4 linked regions of the Notamacropus eugenii genome follow. The protein of the gene in region 2 purifies or fractionates together with the protein of the main gene of each other region. This does not show direct contact. Links are inferred from orthologs where the notes say so. Each region holds a gene or a part of one and is shown on either strand. Other genes may lie near its edges. The genes, in order: ANAPC7, CDC27, ANAPC2 and ANAPC13.

Evidence for each region.
Region 1: the proteins of CDC27 (region 2) and ANAPC7 purify together in Homo sapiens (affinity purification with western blotting; 23 studies listed by BioGRID and IntAct, with this or other methods). This does not show direct contact. The link is inferred for Notamacropus eugenii from reciprocal best matches to the Homo sapiens genes CDC27 and ANAPC7.
Region 3: the proteins of CDC27 (region 2) and ANAPC2 purify together in Homo sapiens (affinity purification with western blotting; 20 studies listed by BioGRID and IntAct, with this or other methods). This does not show direct contact. The link is inferred for Notamacropus eugenii from reciprocal best matches to the Homo sapiens genes CDC27 and ANAPC2.
Region 4: the proteins of CDC27 (region 2) and ANAPC13 purify together in Homo sapiens (affinity purification with mass spectrometry; 5 studies listed by BioGRID and IntAct, counting the BioPlex papers as one, with this or other methods). This does not show direct contact. The link is inferred for Notamacropus eugenii from reciprocal best matches to the Homo sapiens genes CDC27 and ANAPC13.

The regions. Positions count from the first base shown.
Region 1 is NC_092875.1:35,969,719-35,976,614, reverse strand, and holds the start of ANAPC7 (anaphase-promoting complex subunit 7), read right to left. Parts: upstream 3,005-6,896; 5' UTR 2,741-3,004; intron 2,655-2,740; 5' UTR 2,458-2,654; coding exon 2,357-2,457; exon of another isoform or gene 2,334-2,356; intron 1,917-2,333; exon of another isoform or gene 1,816-1,916; intron 1-1,815. UniProt on the Homo sapiens protein: Component of the anaphase promoting complex/cyclosome (APC/C), a cell cycle-regulated E3 ubiquitin ligase that controls progression through mitosis and the G1 phase of the cell cycle.
Region 2 is NC_092873.1:346,411,505-346,418,437, forward strand, and holds the start of CDC27 (cell division cycle protein 27 homolog), read left to right. Parts: upstream 1-3,908; 5' UTR 3,909-3,974; coding exon 3,975-4,001; intron 4,002-6,933. UniProt on the Homo sapiens protein: Component of the anaphase promoting complex/cyclosome (APC/C), a cell cycle-regulated E3 ubiquitin ligase that controls progression through mitosis and the G1 phase of the cell cycle.
Region 3 is NC_092872.1:494,224,756-494,231,854, reverse strand, and holds the start of ANAPC2 (anaphase-promoting complex subunit 2), read right to left. Parts: upstream 3,013-7,099; 5' UTR 2,919-3,012; coding exon 2,802-2,918; intron 2,439-2,801; coding exon 1,810-2,438; intron 1-1,809. Other genes in the region: microtubule nucleation factor SSNA1, read left to right, coding at 3,173-3,224, 3,370-3,569, 4,665-4,758, 5,069-5,127. UniProt on the Homo sapiens protein: Together with the RING-H2 protein ANAPC11, constitutes the catalytic component of the anaphase promoting complex/cyclosome (APC/C), a cell cycle-regulated E3 ubiquitin ligase that controls progression through mitosis and the G1 phase of the cell cycle.
Region 4 is NC_092876.1:333,963,369-333,970,514, reverse strand, and holds the start of ANAPC13 (anaphase-promoting complex subunit 13), read right to left. Parts: upstream 3,026-7,146; 5' UTR 2,927-3,025; exon of another isoform or gene 2,742-2,926; intron 1,881-2,741; 5' UTR 1,847-1,880; coding exon 1,748-1,846; intron 1-1,747. Other genes in the region: CEP63 (centrosomal protein of 63 kDa), read left to right, coding at 3,186-3,190. UniProt on the Homo sapiens protein: Component of the anaphase promoting complex/cyclosome (APC/C), a cell cycle-regulated E3 ubiquitin ligase that controls progression through mitosis and the G1 phase of the cell cycle.

The sequences.
Region 1 (6,896 bases), on a different chromosome or scaffold from region 2:
TGGAAGCTGAGATATAAAGACAAACAAAGAAAACAAGCCTTGCCATTAGGGACCTTACAGGAAATGCAATATGTACTTAGATTAGGAAATACAGGCACTAACAAATGGAAAGATCAGGAAAGGCTGGTGAGGTGGTATCTGAACTGAGCCTTTAAGGAAATTAAAAATTCTGAGAGATGGAGGTGAGAAATGAACCCATTCCATATATGCAGGACAGCCTAGGCAAGGGCAGAGAAAAGGGAGATGGAATGCCAAACTTAGGGAACAGCAATTAAGACAGTTTAATTGGAACAAAAACAATGTTAACGCTGAAAGTGAAATAAACTGAAGGTTGGCTGAGACCAGACTATGGAGAGCTGTAACAGCCAGAGTGAGGAGCATGAGAGATAGAAGGAAACCACAGCAGATCCTAGGGGAGGACATAAGGGATATGCCTTGGGAATACCGTTTAGGCAGCTGAACGGAAGCCAGAACAGAGTGCAGAGACTGGATGCAGGAAGAATCATTAGGAGGCTACTGTAATAAGAATAACAGCAGTCCAAATTCATACAGTGCCTCGCAAATAGGACCTCATTTGAATCTTACAACAACCCTGGGAACTAGATGCTTTTATCTCTATTTTACAAATGAAAAACCAGGGCAGACAGAGAGAGGTCAAATGAACTGCCCAGCATCATACAGCTAGGAAGTGTGTGAGGCTGCATCTGAGCTCAAGTCTTTCTGATTCCTGGACCAGAGCCCTATCCACTTCCCAACCCAGCCACCTCAAAGTATTAGTATTACATTCAACAATTTCTCTCACATGCTGATTGAATTGTTTTTCTTTCTTCTAGTTTAAAGATTATGTTAATAAACTTCAGAATAAGAGTACAGTTTTCAAAAAGAAGTATCCACTAGAACACTCGTTGTTCGAATGCAAAGTGTACACTTGCCAAAAAGACTTTTATGGAGAACTCTCATGGGGCAGGAGATCGCATAGTGATCAGAAGAAAGGATACAAGGGCATTCTGAAGAACTTTGGATTTGACTGTGCAACATGGAGACACTGGCACAGGACCGCTCAGCATGGCGTGCCCATAACAGAAAAGGTGCTGTGCTCTATGAGCAAAGCAGAATTGAGACAGCACAAAGTAAACGCAGGATATCCACCCCAAATATTCACAGGAACTATCTGTGCCCAACCTGTGGTAGAGCATTCCGAGCCTGTTTTGGTCTGATCAGTCACAGTAGGACACACTGAAATGTCACTTTATCATGGTGATGTCATATTGGTCCTCTTTGAAGAGGAAGGAGAACAACCAACCATCCACTAGGTGAATGAACTTAGATTTCTGCAGGACAGAGTTACTTTTAAAAAAAGGTCATGAGAACATTCTGCACCAGCTGGTAATACAATGTCATCTAGGTCACCGTCAACATACGCGCAAGAAAACTCATGAATCTGTACCTTTATGTTAGATTCAGCACTGTTTCCTAATAAGATGAGAAAATATGTTTAACTGCAAAGGAAAAAGCAGTTGCGCTTTCAGACGTAATTTTGCTGCTCGCTTTAATTGTACCTTGTGCTGGCTCTAGGATCACCAGGAGAAAAAAGGAGAGATGTGGAAATTCAAACTATGAAACTTAATAACCAAAGGTTCCAAACTCTTTCCCAAGAGTCTTCTCCAGCCGCCCCGCCCCCGCCCCCAGCCTACTCCAGTATAGACTCCTACCAAGGGGTATAGACTCCTACCAAGGGGTACAGAAGCCCAACCTAGGGCATGCCCTGCCCCACCCGCTATGCCAAGCCCTGGCCCCCACGCCCCAGCCACGCACCTGCCCGGAGCCCCACCTCCAGAGCCAGTTACACCCAAGGACCCGCCCCTTTTCCTAGTCACGCCCCTTTCCAGTGCTCCACCCCCGTTTCAGCTCAGACTACCTGAGAACCCTAACCGCGACCCCGCAAGCCCCGCCCCCAGGCGCGCACGCGCGTCCAAATCCCACCCGCCCACTTCCCAAGGCCCCGCCCTCTCAGGCGCGCGCTCCCTTACCCCGCCTCCTCTCCCCGTCCAGGCTACTCACTGACTCCGCCCCTCTTCCGGCCCAGGTGCGCACTGGCCCCGCCCCCTCACTCTGCCTCCCCTTAATCCCGCCCCTTCAGGCTCCTCCGCCTCTCCCAATTCAGTTGTTTCCCAAGTCCCCGCCCCTTCAGTCGCGCGCCTCTTAACCCCGCCCCCCTCAGCCTCGCTCGCAACTTCTGGCCCGCGCACCCCCTAGCCACACCCCCTCAGGTGCGCGCCCCTGACCCCGCCCCCAGGGGCCCTCCCCACTCCGTTTCCCTCCCCCCACCGGACCTTTCACGCTGGGCCGCACTCACGGGTTGTTGTTGCTCATAGTGAGGAGGAGGCTGCTGAGGAGCCGCACGTTGGAGTGCAGCCCCGCGGCCGCCATGTCCCGCACGTGGTCGATCACGTTCATCTTTGCTTTCGCGGAGGGGCCGCGAGGACCCAGCGGCGGCCGAAGCGGGGACCGGACACCGGCAGGCTCTGGGGGGAGGGGAGGGCAGCGGCGACGAGCGCGGCGAGCGGCACCTCAGCGAAGGCGCCAAAATGGCCGCCGGCCCGGGGTCCTCGTCAGGCCCCCTCGCTGAAACGGGCGGGAGACTAGGACGACGCCTGTGTGAAAAAAAAACCCTCGTTCCTTCTGGGAGTACTATCACAACGTATTATGTATGAGGAAAAAGCAGGTATTTTGCTCCTACCGCGGAAGTTATCGTCATTTTCAGCTCCTTCAAAGGAATACAAATTTCTAAGGGCAAATGAAATCTTTTCATCAGGCGCGCACAAGACAACCCTAACCGTTGGGGCTAACCGCGCTTGCGCGAGTCATTGTGCCACGTGCTTTCCGCTCCATCCTTCTCCGTCCCGCTGCTGTTCTGAGTCCTGGCCGCGGTTGTGAGCCCCCAGCCTCCCACCGAGCACCCAGGCTCCCGTCTGCGTTCCACGGAAGACCCGAGTTCAAATCCGACTTCAGACACTCGCTCGCTGTGTTCCCTTGGGGACGTCACTGTCCGCCTCTGTTGCCTCATTTGTAAAGCCAAGCAGCTAGGTGGCTCCTCGGCTGGAGCCCCGGACTTGGAATCGGGGAGACCAGATTCACCTCTCCTCTCGGATACCGACTAGCTGAGTGACCCTGGACAAGTCCCCTCACCTCCGTTTCTGGAACTAAAATAGGGATGACAGCTTCAGCAATGAATGAGAGGGCTTGGGCTCCATGATCTCAAAGATTTCTTCCAGCTATTCTGTGCTAGAAAGGATCTCAAAAGTATATTTGCAGCCCATTCAAAACACCAGAGAGCCTAGGAATAAATGGAGTTTTCTTTAAAGTGATCAGCAGTATCTATCTAAAAGCATCAGCAAGCATTACAGGTGAGGGGATAAGCTAGAAGCATTCCCGGTAAGTTCAAGAGTGAAAAAAGGATGCCCATTATCAGTTCAAGAGTGAAAAAAGGATGTCCATTATCACCACTATTATTTAATATGTACTAGAAATTTTGGCGTTAGCCATAAGAGAAGAAAAGGAAGTTGAAGGAATTAGAATAGGCAATAAGGAAACAAAATTGTTGCTCTTTGCGGATGATAGGATGGTATACTTAGAGAATCCGCTAAAAAACTACTTGAAAAAAACAACTTTAGCAAAATTGCAAGATTTAAAACACACTCACAAAAATCATCAACATTTGTATTCATTACCAACGAAGCCCAGCGACAGGAGATAGAAAAAAATTCCATTTAAAATAACTGTAGACAATATAAAATGTTCCGGAGTCTACCAGCCAAGACAAAGCCGGGATCGATACAAAAACAATTACAAACACTTTTCCCACAAAGTCAGATCTAAACGACTGGAAAAATGTCAGTTGCTCATAAGTAGGTCAAGCTAATATAATAAAAAATGACAGTTCTACCTAAAATTATATTTGCTTGGAAGATAGCTTATCGGTTCACCTGTTAACAGATATTTCAGTTAAGAGTTTCAGCTTTCCTCTCCGGTCAAAAACCAACCTATCCTTCTAGAGCTAAATTCAGTAACTCCCACTCTTCTAAAAATGGCTCAAGAGGAGAAAGTGAGGCTGGTGACCTTGCACAGCCCTCCCTCAAAATCAAGTGCAAGCCATGTCATTTCTCTGATGTCATGGTCTTCTCCTAAAACGAAGGATGAACACAACCATAACTCTCCTAAAGATCTCCGTGACCATCCCAAGCAGAATGAATGTAGCTGGGGAAAGGACTGAAAAAGTCTGTGGTACAGGAAAATGCCCTGGAGTTAGAAGACCAGTGACTAATTCAACCACTAACTCTTTATCACATCTCCAGTAGAGTATAAGCTACTTAAGGGCGACAACTATTTTACAGTTTGTATTTATATCCCCAGCTCTTGGCACAGGGTCTTGTATTTGCAAAATAAATGCTATTTTCAGGGACTTTCAAGGATTGGAAGAGATCTCCTGACTCTCCAGCTTACTTTCCCACTCCTCCCACCTCCAAAAGTCACTTCACCTCTGTCTGACTCAGTTTCCTCAACTGTAAAATAGGAATAACAGTAGTACCTACCTCATTGTCATTGAGATGTTTGTGAAGTGCTTAGCCCTTAGTAGGCAGTTCATAAATACTTGTTTCCTCTTTCTCTAATTGGTAAATTCTTGCCAGGAATCTCTATTTGGGGAAGTACCCAAATCAACCCTGCTCATTCCTAACCTGCCTCGGCTCCTGGCTCTCCAGACAACTTTTCCATCCAGCCCCTACTAGGGAACATTGCCCCTTCCCAGCTTCTCGGCTCCTTCTTCTGCGTTGTATTCTTAGCATTAGGGTGCATGTTCCTTGAAGACAAGGACCTGTCTTTCTGCTTCTATTTGCATTTCCAGAACTTAGTATATCATATGCACTTAAGTGTTTGGCTCTCCATGGTCATCTGGTCCAACCCATGGATCAATCATCAAACCTCAACTTGAAACTCTCCAGTTGTAATAATGGAAACCCATTGTCTCCCAGGGCAGTTTCACCTTTGGACAGCTCTAGTTTTTAGGAAGTTTTTCCTTACTCTCCAACTTATAATCTTAGAGTAGTTTTGGGGCACTGACCTCACAGTGACTTGCCAATGATCACCCACCCAGAACTCTTTAGAGACAGAACTTGTCCTCAGGTATTCTTGACTCTATCCAATTTTCCACATAGCCTCTTCCCTTCCTCACTTCCCCCTGTGCCTGCATATTCCATGAAACCTGTCATTATCCTCCCATATATCCATTACAGGAGATCTGCCCAATCAACTGCACGTTCTGTTGACATTGTGTGAATATTAAATGGAGCACATGAACTATCATTGGTCATCCTTCAAGCTTCTTTGAATATTCCATCTTTTATTTTTCCCCATGAACATGGGCTTCTTATGACATTGAGCAGAAATCTGCCTTTCTGCAATTTCTATCCAACGCTCCTAGTTCTGGCCTCTGGGGCCAAACAGAACAAGGCTAAGCCTTCTTCCACATGACCATCCTGCAAGTATTTGAGGACAGTTCTCAGGTCCCCACTGAGAAGTCTCTCTTTTCCATTCCTACGTCCATCAAACAATCTTCTTATGATGTCTATAATCCTTTCATGATTCTCTTTTAGACTCACTCCTGATTGTCCATGTACACCCCAAAACGTGGTACCCTATGCTGAACATGACACTCCCTCCAGCCATTGCTTGATGAAGGCAGCTAGGTGGAACAGTGGGCAACATCCCTGGACTTGGAGCCAGGAAGACCTGAGTTCGAATTCTGACTCTGAACCATAAGTGCTGTGTGACGCTAGCCAAATTATTTAGCCTTTCTCAGGGGCCATACTTCATCAGTGAAATGTGGAATAATAAATAATAATAAATGTGGAACGACCACCTAGAGTTGTTGTAGGAATAAAATGAGATCGCATTTGTAAAGCATTTTGCAAGCTTTAAGGAACTATGGAAATACCAGGTAGTATTATCACGCCTCTCAATGCAATCTAAAATTAGATTTGCTTTCTCAGTTTCCAAGTCTCACTGCTGACTTATATTGAGCGTGAAGTCCGCTAAAAACAGCCATTTTCTTTGCATGATCTGTCGTTTAGCCATGCCTCCCCCAAACTAGACTTTTACTGTTGTTTTGTTGAATCTAAGATTCTGACTTTAATGTATTAGGTTTAGCTCACGGTTCTAACCTCTTGAGATCTTTTTGGAAACCTTTGTCATTAGTTTGTTTTCTCTCTGTCCCAGGTTTGTGTCATCTGTAAATCTGATAAACATGGCATCATCCCTAAAATACAGAATTTAAATAGCTTTCACAAAATCACACAGATAGACAGTGTCAGAGCTGGGTCAAGAATTTGAACTATTTGGCATTTGAAGCCTTTTATAAATTGGCCCCTTCCTACCTTTCCAGTTTTTTTGTACCTTATGCCCCTCATCATGTACTCTGAGATCCAGTGACACTGGTCTCCTTGTTCCCTGAACATGACTCTCCATCTCCACACTCCCAGCAATTTCATTGGCTGTCACCCATGCTTAGGATGCTCTCCCTCCTCAATTCTACCTTGAAGTCGTTAAAAATCTCACCTCCTGCAAGAAGACTTTTCCAGTTCTCCTTAACCCTACTTCCTTTGTTCTGAAATTATCTCCTGTGTATATCTTGTCTGAACATAGTTATTTGTATGTTATCTCCCTCAGGAGACTGTGAGCTCCTTGAGAGTAGGAACTGTCTTTTTCCTTTATGTGTATCTCTGACATTTAGCACAATGCCTGGCACATGTTGTTGCTTGTTCTTTGCTTTTGAAGATGACCGGTGATATCCTGGGGTCATGTCTTGACTCCTGAGTGAATTGAATTTAAGTGAGGCAGAG
Region 2 (6,933 bases):
ATATTACTTCTTCTATTAGACTGGACAAATTTTTGCTTTTTTTGTTGTTTTCTCAGTACTCAGCATGGTAGCCAGCACATAGTCAGTGCTTAATAAATGCTCTTCAATTTACCAATAGATCATGCAGAATGACACCTTCTTATTTATGCCAACTTTACCTTGGGCATGTTATATTAGATAGATGATGGCTCATCCCACCTTAGTTACATGAAAGGCAGCGTGGTACAGTGGAAAGAGACCTGGGTTTGAATCTCAACTTTGATATTGACTAATTGTGTGACCATGAACTAATCATGTCAATTTTCTGAGCCTGAGTTGCTTCATCTACAAAATACCTATAATACTTACCTTATAGGAAAGATATGTGAGGATCAAATGATGTAAGATACTTCGCAAACCTTCCAGTAACTATATGGACATCATTATCTATCTACCTACATATCTATCTACCTGCCTGTTAATCTATCTGCCTTCTGTCTACTGAGAGACAGAGAGTAGCTAGAAGGTAATCTGAGAGGGAAGAGGCACTAGCAACAAGGGGATAAGGAAAGGCTTTCTGCAAGTGCAATGAAATAGAGACAAGAGTGTTGTGTGTGAGAAGCAGAAAAAATTCGAGGAGGCCAATAAGGTATAATAAGACGATTAGAAAGGTCAGAAGAAATCAGATCATAAAGTCAAGTCAATTAGCATTTATTAAGTACATACTACGTGCCAGGCACTGTGCTGAGATTAATTTGGAAGAGTGTTAAATGCCAGACAGAAGACTTTACATTTGATCCTGGAGGTTAACAGGGAACCACTGGAGCTCACTAAGCCAAGAGATGACATGGCCAGATTTGTGCTTTAGAAAAAATCACCCTGGCAACAGAGTAGAGGATATGTTAGAGTAGAGAGAGATCTGAGGCAGGAAGATGGTTATTGCAATAGTTCACAATGCAGAGTAATATGCATGTACAAATGCATTTTACATCCAATTTGCTTTTCCACACAATTTATAATTTATATGCATCTTGTGTTTTACATATAGTCAGTGGATTAGTGGAAGAATCAAACAAGAGGCACCCCCAGAACTTCACAAGATTTTATATCACTATGAGGTTAAAACCCAGAAGAATCAACACCAAATGATTTATAAGGTTAACCATTTATGGAGGAGGTGATTTGTAAAGGGTATCTCCTAGGTCCCCATCAAGGACTGATGCTGTGTGAAAGGAGCAGAACCAGGAGAACATAATACACAGTAACAACCACAATGTGGGAAGAATTTTTCTGGTAGACTTAGCCCATCACAACAAATGCACTCCTTTCACACAGCATCAGTTCATATAAGTCCTTCTAGGCCTCTCTGAAGTCCTCCTGCTCATCATTTCTTATAGCACAATAGTATTCCTTTACATTCATATACCACAAGTTGTTCAGCCGATTGGGGCATCCCCTCAATTTCCAGTTCTTGGCCACAAAGAGAGCTGCTATAAATATTTTGGTAATGTGGGACTCTTTCCCATTTTTATGGTCTCTTTGGGATACAGTCCTAGAAGTGATATTGCTGGGTCAAAGGGTATGCGCATTTTTGGCATACTCTATGGAATGGTTGGATTAGCTGAGCTCCACCAACAGTGAATTAGTGTTCCAACTCTCCCACATCTTCTCCAACATTTATCATCTTCCTGTTCTGTCATATTAGCTGACCTGACAGGTATGACTACATCTCTATCTATAAGAAATATAACTGATGTTCATATAGTATTGAAAGGTTTGCAAAGTGTCTTTCATCATTTGATCCTCACATCTTTCCTATAAGGTAAACATTATAGGCATTTTGCAAATGAAGTATCTCAGGCTCAGACATGACTAGTTCATAGTCACACAATTAGTTAAGTATCAAACTTGAGATTCAAACCCAGGTCTCCATCTACTATACCATGCTGTCTTTCATGTAACTATGGTAAGATAAGCCACGATCTATCTAATGTAACATGCCCAAGGTAAAGCTGTCATAAAAAGAAGGTGTCAATCTGCATAATCTTGATAAATTGATGAACATTTATTAAGCACTGACTATGTGCTGGGTACCATGCAAAGCACTGAGAAAACAACAAAAAAAGCAAAAATTTGTCCATTCTAACGGATGAAGCAATATACATTTAAATACTTTATGTAGCTCTTTAAGGTTTGCAAAATGCTTTTCAAAAATTATCTTATTTAATCCTCACCGTAACTCTGGGAAGTAAGGATTATTATTATCCCTATTTTGGAGTTGAGAAAACTTGGGCAAACAGAGGTTAAATGACTTGCCCAAGCCTGAGTTTAGATTTGGACTCGGCTCTTTCTGACTCCAATGCCAGTGCTCTATGCCACTTATAAGGCTAGGTATAGAGGGAAAGCAATCTTAACAGCAGACAACCTTAGGGTCAGATAGAGGTGGTACTTGAGCTGAGTCTTGAAGGAAGCCAGGGATTCTAAGAGACAGAGTTGAGGTGGGAAGTGCATTCCAGGCACAGAGAGCAAAAAAAAGTAAGAATGTATTAATGCGTTTTCAGGAGGAAGAGCATTCTGATTCCAAAGACTAGAAACTTCTTATTCAAATACATCTCTCCCTAGAACTGAGAAGAACAACTTATCAAGCCACCATAGCTTGAAGGAAATATTCCTTAAGGACACCAACTCATTTTGCTCTCATGCTTATCAAGCAGTGTTCTAATCTGTAATTTGGCCTCTGGAGTAAATAACTGGAGTTACCTTGCCAGATAGCTCTCCCAGTGCAAATTAATAATTTGGTATTCTAGTGGATAAATCTGTCTCTTGTCAGTTTGGTTAGTGTGAATCGATTCCCCTTGGCCTGAAAGCCTAGAGTGAACTTATAAAAAAAGAAAGGAAGCTTTTATGAATTCCTCTACTTTGGGATATCATTTTTCAAATTATTTCCTACTTATTTTTCTACGTAAATGTTTGTTGTATCCTCTTTCCCTTCTTCCTAAGCAAAATGCAAGCTTCTGAAAGGCAGAAATGGTTTTTTCCTTTTGTCTTTATTTTCCCCTTCTCCTAGCACAGTGCCCTGAACACAGTAGGTGCTTAATAAGGTCTTCACTCGGTTTGCGTAGCCCCTCCCCTCCAAAACTAAGCCACAGATTAAGACACATTGTGGGTGTGTAATAAATGGCTTGTTAAATTGAATTAACTGTAAAGGGCCTGACCCAGCTTGTGGAGGCTCCCAAGGCCTAAGCCGTATCTGCACATCCGAGGCGCTTAATAAAGGCTGGTTCAATTCCATTTAAAGGCTTGACGCAAGGATTCCGCCGCACCTGCACATGGTCGCTCCTGTCCAGGTTCCCAGATTCAGGACCGGAAGAGACCTCCGAAGCCGTCTAAGTGAATCCCCTTCTTTTAACCGACGAAGCCGCCGAGGGCCTGGAGCTTAAATAACACGACCAAGGTGGTGCTGGCCACGAGAGGCCCTGGCCCACACTCCCGCTACAGCCCGCGGTTCCGTACGTCCACATGGCGCACTGGGCCTCCGAGGCCCGGGCAGCAAGGATGAGGCGAAAGCACCGAGCTAAAGGGACTACAGCGGGCGGGCGCCGCGACCACGCGGCGAAGCCCACCGCCCGGCGGCTCACGGCCAGCCTGCTTGCAGCTGATTGGCCGAAGAGCGCGCGGGTAACTGAGCTCGAGGGGAGCGTGAGCTTCCTCCGTCTAAGCCAGCCTCGGTTTTCCTTTGGCTAATCTTCTAGCGTTTCCGGCTACGCTCTGCCCCTCCGCCAGCCTTCGTGTTTTTCCGGTCGAACTCGGGCATTTCCGGCTAGCCCTAGCTTCGGCGGTTTCCGTGCTGCACTCGGGTGGACTCGGCAGCCGTTCGGCCTCCCCCATCCCCCGGTAACGGTCGCTGCTGAGTTTAAATGAGCCGGGGCTGGGCCGGGCCGGAGCCGCTACGGGGGGGCCTGAGGCGCGACGGAGAGCGGGCCTGAGCCTTAAGAATGACGGTGCTGCAGGAACCCGTCCAGGTAACGAGGACCTCGCCCCCTTCAGCCCCAGGCGGCGGCGGCGGCGGCGGCGGCGGGGGTGGCGGCGGGGAGGCCACGCTCGGGCCGGGCCGGGCTGCGGCTCGGCTCGGGCAGGGCCTGGCGCGGCCTAGGCCCCGGGACGTTGCTCCTCCTCCTCCTCTGCGGACCGGCCCGGCCCGGCCCTCAGGACGCCGGATCCCGGGCCCACGCCCCCGGGAGCCCCCGGGCGGGGACGGGGTCCCAAGCGCGCCCCCGCCCGCCCCTCCTGTCAGTCCCCGGGGGCGCCTCGTGGACGCCACCGGGGAGGGAGAGAGGGAGCCGGAGTCCTGCAGGCGGGAGGGTCGGCTCGGGTCGGCTCGGGTAGTGTCTGTAGTGGAGGGGGAGGAGGATTGGCACCAGGCTGGCTAGGCGTCCCCCGGGAACCCGCGAGTTTGGGGATGGTTTGCGCTTTTTTTTTTTTTTTTTTTTTGGCGCGGTTGCAGATTTGGGGCAGGGGGGCAGGGAGTGAATGGTGTCTTAAAGGAGAGCTTGGCCTTTGGGTGACTTGGCCTTTCCCCAGCTCCTGTTGCTTTCTGATTTCAGTGTGAATTCACCACTGGACATGTGGCTTAGCCTGGCTGGAATCAGGTATAAGATACAGACACTTGCCTAACAGCCACAGTAGGGCAGGGCAGGGCAGGGTGGGGATGGTATCTATGCCAGGTTTTTCTATCACAGATAATGATGGGATCACGGGGTATTTTTTTCTCTTGCACATACAGAAAGTGGAATTTAAAAAAAAATTCGAATACCTTTCCCATCTTTTTTTAAACCCTTAAATCTTCACTGTCATTACCAAATCAGGTATGTTTTTCATGTTCACTGTTCTTTTGGGATGGAATAGAAGAAATCCTCTTGGATTTTGAGAATACGATGCAGTGCCAAATCATTTTTTGCTATGCTTTCTGAAGGAACTGAGTCCTTTGTGCCTTGGTGATGCACCAGGTTTGGGGGTTGGGGGGGGGGGTTACATTATGTCAAATGAGTTGACCTGTGACGTGGGTTTCTCTATGGTTTTAGAGCTGCTGCTGCTGCTGATGATGATGGTCAGGAAAGACTAGGTAGTATCCTTATGGTTTTGAGAAGTGTTCTGTATTACCATTAATGTACCTGTTAACTACCAACAAATGAATCTAACAGTAAACATTTAAATAATGTCATCCCCATTTATTCATTTCAGAGCCCTTAGTGTTTGAGTCAATGTGATATGGGGCTCTAATTTAGAATTGTAACCATATACAAGATATCCTAGTGCAGTAAGTGAAAATCCAAAAATATTTTCTCATTTGACCAACTAGCATTTCTCTTTTCAATAAATAAGCTTAAATTAAAAGTCCTGCCTTTTGGGGGCCTATAAAAGAATTGATAGCTATCTATGCCCAGTTTCAGTTTAGTGAGTATATGCTTGCTTCTGTTACTTCATTTGCATTTCAGATTCATTTCATCCAAGACATTTTATGCTGATACTGAGTTATAAATTTGCTTCTTCTAGCCTCAAAAGATTTTTTTTAGAACCTGTCTGCCAAGGTTGTAAGGATCAAATGAGATAATATTCGTAAATGCTTAACATACCTCTAGCACATATTAGGTGCTATGTAAATGTTAGCTATTATTTTTTTCCCCTAAAGTGATTGGCTTGTGTCATTACTGAAGTGCCACTATTACTTAATAATTACACAAAGGAGAGGAAATTTGTGATCCAGAACCCTTGGATGATACACACCAATTTTCCTTCCTTTCCATCCAAACCTTCTTATCAATGATGCACTTCAGGCCTTCTTAAGCCTTAGAATCCAGTAGCTTATTAAATTCATATGGTGAAAAAACCCAACATATCACTGCCCTTTACTTCAGAGAGGTCTTTTGTCCAGGTGAGGTTTTTTCTAAGATTTGATCTGTAGAGCAATATGAGTTCACTACCAACCTTTGATTAGGTGGTATGGTCAGGAGCATTGAGCAGACATCTTTGGCTACTGCCAATGAGGATCAGTCAAAATGGGGTGGTGCTAGAGGTTGAGGCAGGGGCTGAGATTGGAATTAGCAGGGAAGAGGAGTTTGTAGTAGCACAGCAGAAAGATAAATACACATATAAAGGTGCTATTTGTAAAGATAGAGGGAGGCATATATGGGAGTTTTGAGTAGTCCACCAAGATTTCTTATGTCATCTCAACTGGCTCTTTACTGCTTTACAGAAACCTTTTATTGGTTCCTGATTAACTTGCTTTCCCATTCCCTACAGTCTCTGTTACAGACCTCTGCTGTCCTCAAGCTAACTTTACCCTCCTGCCCCCAGCAGAGGATCTGACTTTATATGTCACTGAAACAAATGAGCCTACCTATCATGAGCTCCCCTATTCTTCCCATTTCTACTGCACTTCAAGTGCCCAGCATTATCCCTAATTCTGTACTCCTTTGCTCCAGAGGAAGAGGGCCCTCCCCCAAGCTTGGCCCCACAATCATCCCTTTTCTATAATTTTCAAGCTTTCCTCCCTTACCTGCTGGATCTATCCTCACTGTCTTCAAACATGCCTTACTCTTCCCCAACCCTAAAAAAAATATAAAACAACCCAAAACTTTCACTTGATCTTATAATTTTTAAAAAAGCAAAAACTACCAAAACAAATCTTTTCCTTTTTTTAAATTATATTTTCAAGTCATTCATGCTCCACTTTTGCACCACTAAACACCTAGGAAAAGTTGTCTCCACTCATTACTTCTACTTCTCAGCTCCTTGCCGTCTGGCTTCCATTCCTACCACTCAACTGAAATTGCTCTTTACAAAATAATCTCCTAATTACTAAATTTAATGGCCTTTTCTTGGTCCTCACCATTCTTAACCTCTCTGCAGCATCTGACAGCATTGACTATCCTATCCTCCTTAATAATCTTTCTT
Region 3 (7,099 bases), on a different chromosome or scaffold from region 2:
TTCAGAAGGTACAAAGTATGAAACCACAAATAAGGAGTTATGGTCCTCAAACAGGACCTGAACCTAAATCCAGAAAGATTAAGTCGCTAGCCCCTCTATGCTGTAAGAGTTTTCTCCCCATCCCAAAATATTTAAGCCACCTTCATCCTCCAATAAAAAATTCATACCATTAGATACACCACTTAAGTGTATATCACATTATTTATAGAAAGCTCACTGTTAAAATAAATGTTGAATCTGGAAAAGTTGAATCTGGGAAACAAAGTTCCCATAGTTCCTCAGTACCCCCAAAGAATGGAACTCTGAGAGCATTAATTGAAAAAGAGCTCAAATTTTGTTGAATGGAAGATCCTAGGGGCAAAGTCCAAGAAGACCACTACAGTGGGAGTTCCTAGGCAAATAGTAGGTCAGGAGTTGCTAAAAGTAGAGATAGAGGCACAGAAGAGGTGATCTACTTCTGCTGAGGGACTTGCCCTCAAGGGCAATAAAGGATTGGAAAATCTGCCAAGATTACAAAATTTCTTAGCTCTAACTGGTGAAGTAGCACAGGTCTGACCAGCAGGTGTCCACACAGATCAGCCAACAGACAAGTAAACATGGCTCCAATGGATGCAAAGGTACTTCTGGATAAGACAACTATCCCACTTGCTCTTTTTTGCCACTGAAAAAATTTGTAAAAATTCTGCCTGGGTAAATGGACACTACTGTGGTAACTTAAAAATGATTAACTTTTGTGATTTTTAATGTAGATCTAAACTGTAATGACAAATGCATCCTTAAAAACAATTAACCACATACTTTGTGTGTGTGTGTATCCTGCCCTTCCTACCTTGTGTGGTTCAAAAGGGGGTCCCTCAGAGAACCATACTTAAAGACTCATTTTGGGCATAACTAGTATCACTATAGTAAAAATCTGTAAACCAAAAAACTTCAAAGTTTACTCTGGGGCACATTTATTTAAAGAATTTTTGAATATACAAAATTCCAGTACAAAAGAACTGGGATAACCATTTGGATTACATCAAAATAAAATCTAATCCATGAAAATCAATGGGAACCCCAAACGTCAAACCAGAAATCTTAGTCATTTTAGCAAAACATCTCTTAACATATTGCTGAAAAGCAAAATTCTTTCCCTCAAACTCTTTGATGGTCCTTAAGTACTTCTAGAGAATGCTAGTAATTTTGGACATAAAAAAAAAGCCATGAGCTAATCTGCTCCAGAATACAAAACAGGGAACCTCAAGGGTCATCTAGTCCAACCCCTAACCATAATATGTATTATATCTACAGTGCTGTTAATAAGCAGTCATGAATCATTCACCTGGAAGCTATGCAATGATGGGGAACACAAGACAAATCTCTTTTCTGACTTACTCTCCACTGAGTATAACTAAAGTCTAGGAATGGGTGAAGAGATGAAAACATGATAATCAATGCCTAAAGGTGTGAATTCATTATTCCAACAAATAAACACTATTTTCTGCTAATGATATAGCACCTCACACACTCTGACATTCCCTGCAATTAGGAGTGAGGGAAATAGGTTATTTAGATGTCCTAAGATCCTCTTCCACTACCCAGAATTAAAAGGTTTCCTCTACTACAGCTTTGTTAAACCCTGCCTGATCCCAGGGAAAGTGACTAGGCTAGGGGACACTTTTTTATAGGTTAATAAGATATGGAGCTAGATGGAACCTGAGAGATAATTAAATCTGATTCCTTTATTTTACAGAGGAGATCCCCGAAACCAAAAGAAGCAGAGAGATATGCCCAACGCCACAAAAGTTACAAGTAGCAGTCACTTACAGTATCTCACTAAGCTGCTGGAATTGTTCCAGAGCCACTGAGCACCAGCACAGCTCCTTAGCACTGTTGCAGCCGGCACACTCCTGGCCCTCTGGAGACCCACTGTCTTCCAAGTCACCTTGGTCCAACTCTGGCTCACTCATGCCACTTTCGCTCATTCCTTCATCCACTTTCTTTTTCTTCTGCTGATGCATGTAGATTTTAAAGGTACGCGCATAGAACTGCTGGATCATCTCCTGAAAGGTTTTCGTGGTGGAGAAGAACAAGATGGCTCTAAACATAGTATAGACTTTTTCCCGCAGACCCTGAGAGCCAGTCCCCAGCAACAAGCCCATCTGCGTCCACTTCTCCAGTAAATCCAAGCTGTTGAGGTAGGGGTCCAGTCGACACTTGAGCAAGCCAAAGGCTTCCAGGAGGAGCAGGACGCACTGGGGCTCTTCCGCGGTGTTCTCATATTGAGCAATGGCATTCCAAAACTCGGGGGCGATGTTGGACTGCAGGTCAGTCTGAAGCACCTCGGTGAACCACTCCTCCAGGATCGAGTGCAGCTCATAGCACTTCAGCACCTCCACAGCAGCCTGAAGCTCCTCTTCTTTCAAACTCACTGCTCCGGGTGGCCTGGAAGCTGCCTAAAGAGCACAGAACTCGTAAGAAGTGGACCAAGAGGGGTCAGAAACAGAGCATCTCTAAAACAAGGAGGAAAGCAGCTCTAAAGGTCAGCCAGAGGAGGGAGAAGAGTCAGGACAGGAGGAGAGCGGACGAAAAATAAGAGCTGGAGCCTGAGAGACCAGTTGGGGTCTGAGAGGAGGCGTGGGGCTGAGTGGGGATGAGGGGCAGGAGGAGCGGAGAGGGAGATGGGCATGAGGACAGGGGGCTGAGCGGGGCGGGGGCGGGGCTGAAGGAAGAGAAGGGGCCGAGGGCAAGGATGCGGCCGAGAGGAGGCGGAGATGCGCCGGGAGGGACGAGCCCGCCCGCCGGAGTGTGGCCCTCACCAGCCCCAGGGCGGCGGGCGGCACCAGCCCGGTGCTCACGGTACTCCAGGCCACTGACAGCTCCGCCCCCGGGGCCCCGCAGGCTGCACCCTCTACCATGGCCGCCACCGTCGCCATTTGCGCTGACAGGCCCAGACCCCGCTCCGGCTCCCGCAGCCGCAGCGGCTCGGATGTCAGCCCTGGCGCGCGTCGTGGTGACGTCAGACGTCACGCAATGACTCCCCTGAGCCGACGCGGCGCGACCTGATGAGCTCACGGGCCCATTGGCGCGCAAAGGAGGGCGGGAGAGCGGTATCCGAGCAGGCGCAGTGATGCGGTAGAGGCGGTTGGAGCTGGAGTAGGAGGCTGCCGGTGGCGGGAGCGCGGGGAGGATGAGCCAGCAGGGAGCGGCGCTTCAGAACTACAACAACGAGCTGGTCAAGTGTGAGGGCCGCAGGCGGCGGCGGAACCCCGACCCCGAGCCATCCCGGCCCCCCGAGCCACCCCCCGCCCCTCCCCCCCTGTGCGGCCCCGAACCCCGCCCCCGCTCCCCGCCCGGGCCCCCACCAGCCTCTCTCGCCTCCCCCAGGCATCGAGGAGCTGTGCCAGAAGCGGGAGGAGCTGTGCCGGCAGATCCAGCAGGAGGAGGATGAGAAGCAGCGGCTCCAGGGCGAAGTGCGGCAGCTGACGGAGAAGCTGGCACGGGTCAACGAGAACCTGGCCCGGAAGATCGCCTCCCGGAACGAGTTTGACCGCACCATTGCCGAGACCGAGGCCGCTTACCTCAAGGTGGGCCTCCCCCCGGGGGCAGGTGGGCCGGCGCGCCGGAGCCGGACCCTGCCCCCCCCCCCCAGCCCCCATTCCCGCCGCTCAGGAGGGTACTTAACCCGTGGAGACCCCAAGCTCACTGGGCACCCCTCCCCGAGATGAGGCGGTGCTCCAAATCCATGTGTTGGTGCTAAACACCTCGGGGTCGGCAGAGGGGAGGTGTAGCCTTGCGAACGCAGGGTGGTTTGTTCCAGAGAGCAGACAGAAGGCTGGATTTGCAGCCCTGAAGTCATGGAGTCCAAGCCTACCTCAGACATTTAACTGGTTGTGGGACCCTGGGCAACTCGCTTAACCTCCCCCAGGTTCAGGGGCCTTATCGTTAAAATGAGAGCACTGGACCCCAACGTCAACAAGTCCATCGAGAGTGCCCACCAGAGATCTGAATTTTCAATTTTTTAAGGGTAGAGCTGCCAGACATTCCCCACCCCAAATGAAGTCCGCACCTTTATCCTTCTTGTGCTGCCCCACCCCCCCCCAAGCCAACACTGTGTACTAGGTGCTATGCTAGACACGAGCAGGAGTGGGAAACCTTCATCTCTCTAGGTCCTCAAGTATGGCCCTCTGACTCCAAACTTTACAGAACAAATCCCCTTAGAGTTTGGGATTCAGTTCAGAGGGCCGCACTTGAGGACCTAGAGCACCATATGTGGCCTTGAGGCTGCAAGCTGAACTAGAGGTACCAGGAGACACCAGGTGTGATGGAAAGAGAATTGCATTTGAAGGTGGAGGGTGTAGTTCAATGTTCTACTTCTACTACTTGCTACATTGAACAAGTCCCTTAATTTCCCTGGGCCTCAGTTTCCTTAAATGTAAAATGAGGGAGTTGGACTAGATGATCTCTTAGGTCCCTCACAACTCAAACTATGGTCTTACAAATATAAAAATGGCACAGTCCAGATCCTTGACTTATTTGAAGATGAAGGAGCATATATACAATATGTAGAGAGTACAATAAAAGGTAAGTAGTGATGGAGAGAGAGGGCCCCTTAGTACCCAAAAAGCTGCATCTTTCCAAGATGTGCAAGCTTAAACTGTTTCATTTTTTTCTGGTCACAGATTCTGGAAAGTTCTCAGACGCTACTCAACGTCTTGAAGCGAGAAGCAGGGAATCTAAGCAAGGCCGCAGCCCAGGACCAGAAGAATACTATGGGCAAGGACAGCTGAACTGGGACCATGGGCTAAAGCCTGGGGCTTGCCTTACACTCCCTTTTGTAGGTCTGCAGGTGTCTTCCTTGAGAGGGAATCTGTTAATAAAGTATCTTTGTTTTTCATAGCTGCAGCATTTCCCTTCTCTTGCTATTTCAGGCATGTGAGAACAACTTAGCTCCCCAGTACCTCATGGGTATTCACTGTTCTCTGGGTGTTTCATCTAACATGTCCTAAAGAAAAGGGGTAATTACAACAGCCCAGCCACTTGGGGTAGGGGTTAGTAATGCTCTGCACGTTTCATTGCCTTCCAGGCAGAAGGAATCATGGGGAAGAGGAAAACAGAGAGAGGACGAGAGGCAATTTTGCCTGAGAGTTGTCACTGCTGTCCTGGATCAGCCTTCAGGATATTTATTCCCAGGCCCCATGCTTCCTTCAAAGCAGGTGGCCAGACAAAGCCAGTAATTGTGGGGATGAGTGGCCAAAAACCCTAACTAGGGACATGAACCTTAATGTATACATGTAGTCAATATATTGCAGTTTTATGTGTGAATAAAGTTTTCCTTATGATTTTCATCTCTGAGCCTGCTGTCTGTGTTGTGGGGGGAGAATTTTTTTTTTAAACCAAGAACCAGAAGCCTTTGTTCATTGTTAATAGTCTTTGCCCAGATGGCTTCTTACCCCACCCCCACTCCACCATGGAAGTTGGTGAGTAAAGAGTATGTATGAAGAGCTAGAGATACAGGCACAAGATGAGGCTAACAGGACCTGGTTTGGCCACTTGACCAAGGGACCAGGACCTTTCCCTACATGGAAATGAGCAGAGGCCCCAGAGGAATAAAGGACTACACTCTCAGTTTTTTCTAATGTTCATTAAATGCCTAGTAAGGGCAAGGAAGGCCTTGTATGATTATATAGCAAGTCTGTATCCTATCTTGGTCTTTGATTATTCAATCTCTTTTCATATTGTTCTCCTTGTATGTCCACTATTCCATTCAAATTGACCTGTTAGCTTGTTCTTTCTACCTCTGTATTTGCACAAGTGGTTCCCCCACATCTTCATACCTCTTTCTCTTAGAGTCCTTGTCTTCCTGTACAACACAGCTCATGTGTTGCCTCTTAAAAGAGACTTTTTCTGATATCTTGGCATGTTAGCACATTCCCATTGAAATTATATTATTTCATACACAATTTGCATTGAGTTACTTGAGTACATGTGTAAGTTCTTTGAGGGAGAAATTGGGGGGTGTTAGCCATTTTTCCAGGGCCCAGAATAGTATCTTACATATAGTTAGCACTAAATAAATGTCTGTTGAAATGAAATAATGCAATCTTTTTTTCTCCTATTCCTGCTTATCCTAACTTCCACAAAAAAGTAATAAAATTCATCATCTTCTTTGAAGGTCATTTTGACACTGTCACCATCGAGATTAACAATGGCTTCCCCATCAAATTAAATTCAAACAAGATGGAATGTGTCTTGATGGGAATTTGTTTATGGAAAAACTATTAGACTAATGACATTAGTGTGTCTTAGATCTAATGAGTAGTATAGACTCATTTTTAACCCTTCTAAGCAAGAGTAAGCCTAAGAGAACACAGACTTATCGCCTTGTTTTACTTTCCCAATTCCAGCTGTATCTTCATTTAGGAATTTGTTGCTAATAACTGGGAACTGCCTTCATCTTCATAATCCTCTTTAGGTTAGGAATCGACTTCCTAACTCACTGCCTTACCTTTCCAGTTCACACCTAAGCAAGAAGTAGAACCTACAGGTTTACAGACCATAATGAGTACTTGAAAATTAATTTGTAACAGCCAAAGCTTGGTCAACTGAGGTACTGTGTGACATTGTCATCTGCTCTCTTGTGCCTTAACGAGATGAGAGGGAAATATCCAAGGTAGTTCCCAACAGATCACTCTTCTGAATTATGTCACTGGGGCATTAATCAGTGCTGAAATGTGTTTTATCACTTCCTGGGCTGTTAATCAACTTTTAGTGCCAGCCATTGGCAGTGTGAGTATTAGAAGGGCTTTCAGGATTTAAATATTTTCCAAGGCAACTAGGTGGTGTAATGGATACAAAACGAGTCAGGAGGGCCTGAGTTCAAATCTCACCTCAGACACTTGACACTCACTAGCTATGTGACCTTGGGCAAGTCAACCCCATTTGCCTCATCCTGGGTCATCTCCAGTCATCCTGATGAATATCTGGTCACTGGATTCAGACAGCTCTGAAGGAGAAGTGAGGCTGATGACCTGCACAACCCTCCCTCACTCAAAACAAAGTCAAGTGCAAGCCATGCCATTATTTCTCTGATGGCATGGTCTTCTTCCAGCAATGA
Region 4 (7,146 bases), on a different chromosome or scaffold from region 2:
GATAATACACTGTGTATTTTGTTAAGTGAGACCATTAAAGTTCAGAGGTGTTAATCACATGAAAGTTGGATATCAAATGAGGAACATTTTTTCAGACCCAGTGACTTACAAAGACAGTTATAGTATAGAAAAGCTGTGACTTACTTTGGTGAAAGGGGTGGAAGAATTCACACCTATAATGTGATGGATTCTGGATGTACTAATAAAGGTAGACAAACTTAGCTCAAATAAAAAATTAACACCAACAAAAGAAGTGTAAAGCAAATATATCAATAAATCATGGGTAGAAAATATCTGATTCACTGGCTCCAATCTGCTCTTGGGTTGACTTGAATTGGCCTAAGAAAAGTATTCTCAAATTCTGGGTACATATGTGAAAGTTTCTGAGATAGATACAGGTCTTTATCCTACACAATGGATATCCTTGCTTTATTTCAAGGGTTAAGCAAAAATGTTATTTCAAAGTGGGGTTTTTGAATGTTTTCTTTTAGGTCCTCAGTCCATTTTACCTTTTCTTTTTTGATCCTTAACTTAAGGTATATCTCTTTGTTATTTGTAGTTATTGAATAGTTTTATATTTTCCGTTCTTGATTTTTAAAAGTAGGTAACATGAACGTTGCATAGTTCCTTCAAAAATAGCTAAAGTTGTTTTTACCTGCATATGACCTGTGACTATTTCCCCTTACCATCCCCCCACCTCTTAACAGAAAAAATATTCTTCCACCTCTTTTCAATTATTTTCTTCTCTTTCAGTAGGTCCTTATGATATACATAGGATCTATCATAAGCCTTCATTAAAGTGAAAAATAATATAATTACAGTCTCTTAAAAAGTTGGAAGCAATTTTAGAAATTACTCAGTTTGGACCTGAAGTATGAATTACCCCAACATCTTTACCATCCTATAAAGAGTGCTATGGTAATTTGTTAAATTTTAACTCAGTAAAAAACAAACACAGGACTAAACTTAAAAGTCCAGGGACATCTACAAACGTGGAAGTTTAAGTCTTTTTTTCAGAAACTTGGTAGGTGTAGAGAAGAGAATAGAAATCTCTCAGAAAATCTTGGAAAGGTCTAGCATCAAAGTATGGAGGTTTACAAAGAGAATAACTGAATGACAGATGAAAGTAAAAGAAAGAAGAGAATATTATTTAGTTGTTCTAAGGTATGTTCTTAGCTCTTTTTAATTTTTTCCATTGATTTCAGTGGTTCTGACTCTTAATTATTCTTGACTTATCTCTATATAGTACATTGATAGAAGCACTAGACTGACATTCAGGAGATCTGTCACTAACTAGTTTTATGTTCTTAAGCAAATTACTTAACCTCTCTATGCCTTGGCTGATTTGCTTTGAAAGGATTGGAAGAAATAATTTTACATCCATCCCCTCCTCTCTATTTTTCATTGCTTCAGGTGGAGGGCCACAAAACTAGGAGGCCTAGATCAGCAGTGTGAAATTCAAACAGAAACAGACCTATTAAACTCTTAAGGATCCCTGTGGCTGTATATTGATTAGAAAACCACACATTAACATTATCTTTGTTCTACTGTATTTTTATTTAAGAACATTTCTTAATTAAATTTTAATTCAGGCCCACTAGGGAAGTATATTTGATAACTCTGGTCCAGATAAACTGCTCCCACTGTGAGTCATGTGCCCTTCCTCCTTTCTGCTTTTGCTGGGTTTGCTAATTAATTGTTACTTACAATGGTATACCCATTCCCTTATTCATAGCATGTTACCTACCAGTGGTATTGCAACGTCTTCATAGGGCAGCTTATCTTCTCTCCAAGCATCATCAATCAGATCCAGAATTCTTCCATCCCTCTGTACCTCACTGTCCATTCTTTTGTGATTTTGATTTTCTTAGACCTATGGCCTACAAGTTACAGTTCAGAAATTTGGTGATGAGTGAATTAAACACACACACACACAACTAGTTAATTTTCTGAATTAGTCCAAATGTACTTTAATTGTTTTGTGTCTGTGGACGTGGCCTGAGCTCAAAATAAACATAAATGGATGACAGCTGGCTGACAAGTTTTTGATTCTTTTTTAAAAAGAATTTTACTTCAATAAAGTAAAAGGATCCATTTTCAGTATTTATACCCAGATCAATGAAACCATGGATGTTTCAACTTTTTCTTAGCATTTATCTAAATTCTTGTATCCCACATTCTTTTCATTTTCTTCAAAGTGCTTGCTGCCCTCTTTTGTCATCTACTATTCCTCTTATCAGAATACATGTTATAAGTCATCACTGATTAATTTGTTCTTTTTAATTGTCACATACAGTGTAAGCTCCTTAAGTATAGATAAGGATCACTGATTTTCATCTTTGTATTCCTGACTGTGTGGCTGAGAACTTCCAGCAGAAAGCAGTGAAAAAATGTTTGAATTGTAATCTTATATGGCTATTGAATTCCTATCCTGAAACCTCAATTAGACCAGAAGCTCATTTAGAGCTGAGGCTGTGACTTAAAACAGTTTTATCACCCCTGAGGAAGCAGCACACAATAGGCAGATTTTGGCAGATTTTTACAAACTTTCAGAAATTTACAAACTCTGCTAACTTTTAGATTAGCAGAGGGCATGGCACATACTGCTTAATAAAAGCCCTGGGACTATGAATAGTTGTAAGTACTATACAAAATCAAGTAACAGAAGAGAGAGACACACACAGACACACAGACACACAGACACAGACATACAGACACACACACACAGACGTTCGTCTTACTGCAGTTTGGGACGAGCGAGGCCAGAAGAGAAAGGAGAGGGAGGGAACGACACTGCCCTCCAGTATCCTCCTTAGGGGACAGAAGGGTGGAAGAAAAGAGCCGAGACTCTCCTGGGGTGAGCACAAGGGGACAGGGGAGGTACAGCTGCAGAGCAGCAGCATACAATGTAACCAAACCAGCAGACCTGGAAAGAATGTGAAAGGGATGCGCATGCGCATGCTCCGAGTCTCGCGCTCGTTTCTCCGGCGATCATCGCGCAGGCGTGTTGGGGGAACCTCCGCTCCAGCGCTCTTCCGCCTTCAACCGCCGCGCCAATCTGCTCCTCCGCCAGCCAATTCGCCGGAGTCACGTGATTCGTAAAACCCTTCCCCTCCCACCGTTTAGGCCCAGCGAATGACAGTACTAGGCTGAGTCAACTCGATTACCTTAGGAAAGTGGGGAGGATGAGGTTGGTTCAATTCATTAAGGGGGGAAAAATTTTTTTTTAAAGTGGGGAGGGGGCGGAGGGAGGACGAGTGGGCGAGCGAGGAGGCGGTGCAGAAACGTCGGCGGCGGCGCGCGCGGCCGGGAAAGGTAACGGCGGGAGAACGAGAAAGGGGCGGGGGCGGACGCTGCCGCTGCTGCGGACGCCTGGCGGGGCTGGGTGCACGGCCTGCGTGGCCGCGGGGCTGAGGCCGCTGAACGGCGTCGACGCGCTGCTCCTTAGTCCGCAGGCGCGGGGTAGCGACTGCGCGCTTCTTCCCGGCGTGCTTTTCGCCTGGCTGCGCGCTGAGTGCGGCCCATGGCTCCGCAGGGCGCGTCGGCCAAGCCCGCCGTCAGGTGCCCGCTCGCCTTCCTCGGGTCCGAGGGCGAGTGCTGGCGGCTGGGGTTCGTTCGTTAGCCCGCCTCGGGCCATGCTTGAAGTGGGTTCCTCCACCTCCCCTCTAGAGGAGGCGGCGGTGATGGGGGCCACGTGTCCCCGGCGGGCGATTCAAAAGCAGTCCGAGTGCGCCTTGTGCTAGAGCGACTTAGGCCGAGATTATCCTCCTCCCCCTCCCTCTCCTCCCCCGCTGGCCCCCGAGAGGCCAATGGACCTAGGTCCGGGGTTCAGTTCAGTTCAGACGTTAAAGCACTTACTAAGTGAGGGCACCGTGCCAGGCGCTGGAGGTATTAAAAAAACCCATCAGCTGGGCAAGCCTCAGATTTCCCTAGCCCGCCGTTCTACAGGGTCATCAATTTGCTTCCACTTGGACCTGTCGCTGTGGGCAAGCCACTTCCCCGTGCAAAATGGAGGCATTCATCTCGGAGGATACCTAGATACTTTGTATCCCTTTGCTTGGCCTTGTCTCCCCTATTAGTTGTAAGATACGTGAAGACTGGCCCTGCCTAGCCTTTTTCTTGTATCCCCATTGCTTAGCCCAGTGACTTGGCACACAGTAGGTGCTTAATAAATGTTTGTTGAATTGACAAGTCATCTGATTTAATTGGTCTTCAGTTTCCTCATGTGTAAAATGAAGGGGGTGAGGGATGGGGATGCATTAGACCAGCTAGCCTCAGAAGTTCTTTCTCTCTCTATGAAATGATCCCATGACTCTAGAACCTCTAAGGTCCTTTCCAGCATGATTTGAGAAGTTTAGGGAAGGTACCCCCTCTGATTAATAAGGATGTATGTGGTGTCTAGGGAGGATGAATACTCCTGGTGTGAGGGCTGTCATCCAACTGTCACCTGTGGCTCCAAGAAGTTGTAGCATGTGCTGTGGTCACAACCCACTAAGCCAAGTTTAGAGTAACCCACTGCCCTGGAGCCCTTCATTAAGTTGCGGGGAGGGATGTCTACCTCACGCATGGATAGACTTCCCCAAGCAGATCAGAACATTTTGTTCCAAGAGCCATGCAAGGGCTGTGGAGTGCTTAGTGGTTGGTCAGACATCAAAGAAGCCAAGGTCATCCACTGCAGCCTTCCATCAATCTACTGATTTTTGTTTCTCCACTGAACTTCAATCGTTCTGGAAGAGAGAGTGAGGCTGACTAGCCCTCTTTGAAAAGGAAGGAGGAACAAAAACAGCATTTTGCAGTTGTGGTGCCTGAAGGGTCTATTAACCCTTTCTGTTCAGAATCCTGGGAGACCTCAGTTAAAGTGAGGATTTCTTCCTAAAGAGGATAGTACATCAAGCTACTTGACCTCTCTATAAATACTTTATTATGAGATTGTTGATCAGATCCTTTCCAAGATCCTTTTACCATGGGTATTTATCTAGACCAGGAGTGGTTTGAGGCCAGAGGTTTCCCACCTTCTGTCTAGACTAACCTCAGCCCTCCCTCACTCAAAACAAAGTCAAGTAAAAGTCATCATCATTTCTCTGATGGCATGGTCTTCTTCGGCAATAAAGGACAAACACACATCTCTTTTACAGAGGAACCTGAACCCTATGGCCCATTTCCCAGAATTTCTTTAGAAAAACCTAGTCATTTTTATAGCAACTTTTGTTTATTGCTTTTTAAAAAGATGACACCTCATCCCATGTTTTTCCTAGTTCTAGTGATGTTGTGAACATTTTCAGTTATATAAGGAATAGAGGTCCTTAACATGAAGGATTTCATGGTTAGATTTGGGAGAGTCCAGGAACTTGAATGGGAAATTTTTAAAAAAATTTTTACTAAGCAACCTATAATTGAAATTTAGGTTTTCTGTCAATTACACATGTAGGTAATAAACCACAGCATCATTAATAGTACTTGTGACTTTATCACTGGTAGAAATCACAAATATTTTTATGCCATGTTATAGTCATTGCAGATACTTTGGAATGTTATGTATGCCCACCACTACTTTGAAATTACTGTGGATTTCAAGGGCTTGTAGTCTTTCCTGTCTGTGGGCACTGGTGAGACATAGCTGGTGAACCATTGGAGTCTATAGTTTTCACCAGATTGCCAAAGGAATCTATGACACAAAAAAGTTTATTAACTCCTGCAGTAATTTTCAGTTGCCTGAAATAACTTTGAAGTTTAACCCCTTCCTCCTTCTCCCTTTCCCCCATTGACAATGGGAAAATTTAGTGAAAGTATTTTTTTTCTTTATTAAAAGTGGTCTGTTAGAGTAGAAATACCTGTATCTGTATAAGACCTTGCACACACTCATTTTAAATGTTAAATTACAGTACCAAATAATCAAAATTTATCCAAATTAGTGATGATGCTAAGTGCTCTACAGAATTTGGGTTTGTCTGAATGTTTGAGAAGGTACAATGGCATAGGTATTAAGTTGATACCAAATTGTTACATCTGCATGTATGAAAATTATAAGTAAATTAAGGCATTATGCTTTGTTAACTTGGATTATAGTGACCTCATCAGGTCAGTATTGTGCCTGAATTCAAAAGAATTGCTTTTTCATTAATCATTTCTTTTGTTTCTTTAACCTCCTTACATTTTGGTCATTTTACTGTTTGCCATAGAGGCAGTGTGGATAAAGTGTTATACTTGGAGGCAATAATATCTGGTTTTGAATCTCACCTCTGACACTAGCTGTGTAACTTTGAGCAACTCATTCAACTATTTTGAATATCACTTTTCTACTTTGTTAAATGTGGTTGATAGCTGTAGATTATAACTAGTACCTAATTCTGGTAGTACATAAATAAGCTTTATTCAGGAAGCAGCTTGTAGTCAGATAGAACTTTAAACTCTATTTCACCCTAGCTGTGTGATCTTAGGTTTTAGAATTTATACTGTGCCTTGTGCAAACAATTCTTAATTTTATATAGTTCTTTTGAAAAGAAAAAAATAAAGTATCACATGAAGGGTTATTTAGTTGTATTCCTTCTTCCATGCCTACCTTGATGTTTGGAATATACTCCATTCTTTTTTCTATGCCACATAGAATCTCTAGCTTCCTTCAAAGCACAGATTAGGTGCCATGTAATAAATAAAATAGGCCATTCTTTACATAAATTGTTCAGTCATTCCCCAGTTCATGGATATCCCCTCAGGTTTTCATTCTTTGCCACTTCAAAAAGAACCAGAAATATTTTTGTACATCCTTTGAGTTTATTTTGCTTTATTTCCCTCCTAATTCTTAATACCCCTCCCTTTTCCTCCCGGACTACCAGAACTTTTCCCCTCTTTTTCAAAATTATATTTTTTCAGTCCACAAAAGTCTGACTTTTCTCCCTTTTCCTTCCATCCCTTACCATTAAGAACAGAAGAAAAATAAAACTTGTTACAAACATGTATAGTCAAGCAAAACAAATTTCCACATTGGCCATTTCCTACACATGTGCCCACGTGTGTGCACCGCTCCCCCCACAATGTTTCATTATTAATCCTCTGGGATTATGGTGGTCATTATACTGATCAGAGACTCACTCTTTCAAAGTTGTTTGTCTTTACTGTATTGTTGTCATTTGTTTTCCTGCTTCCACT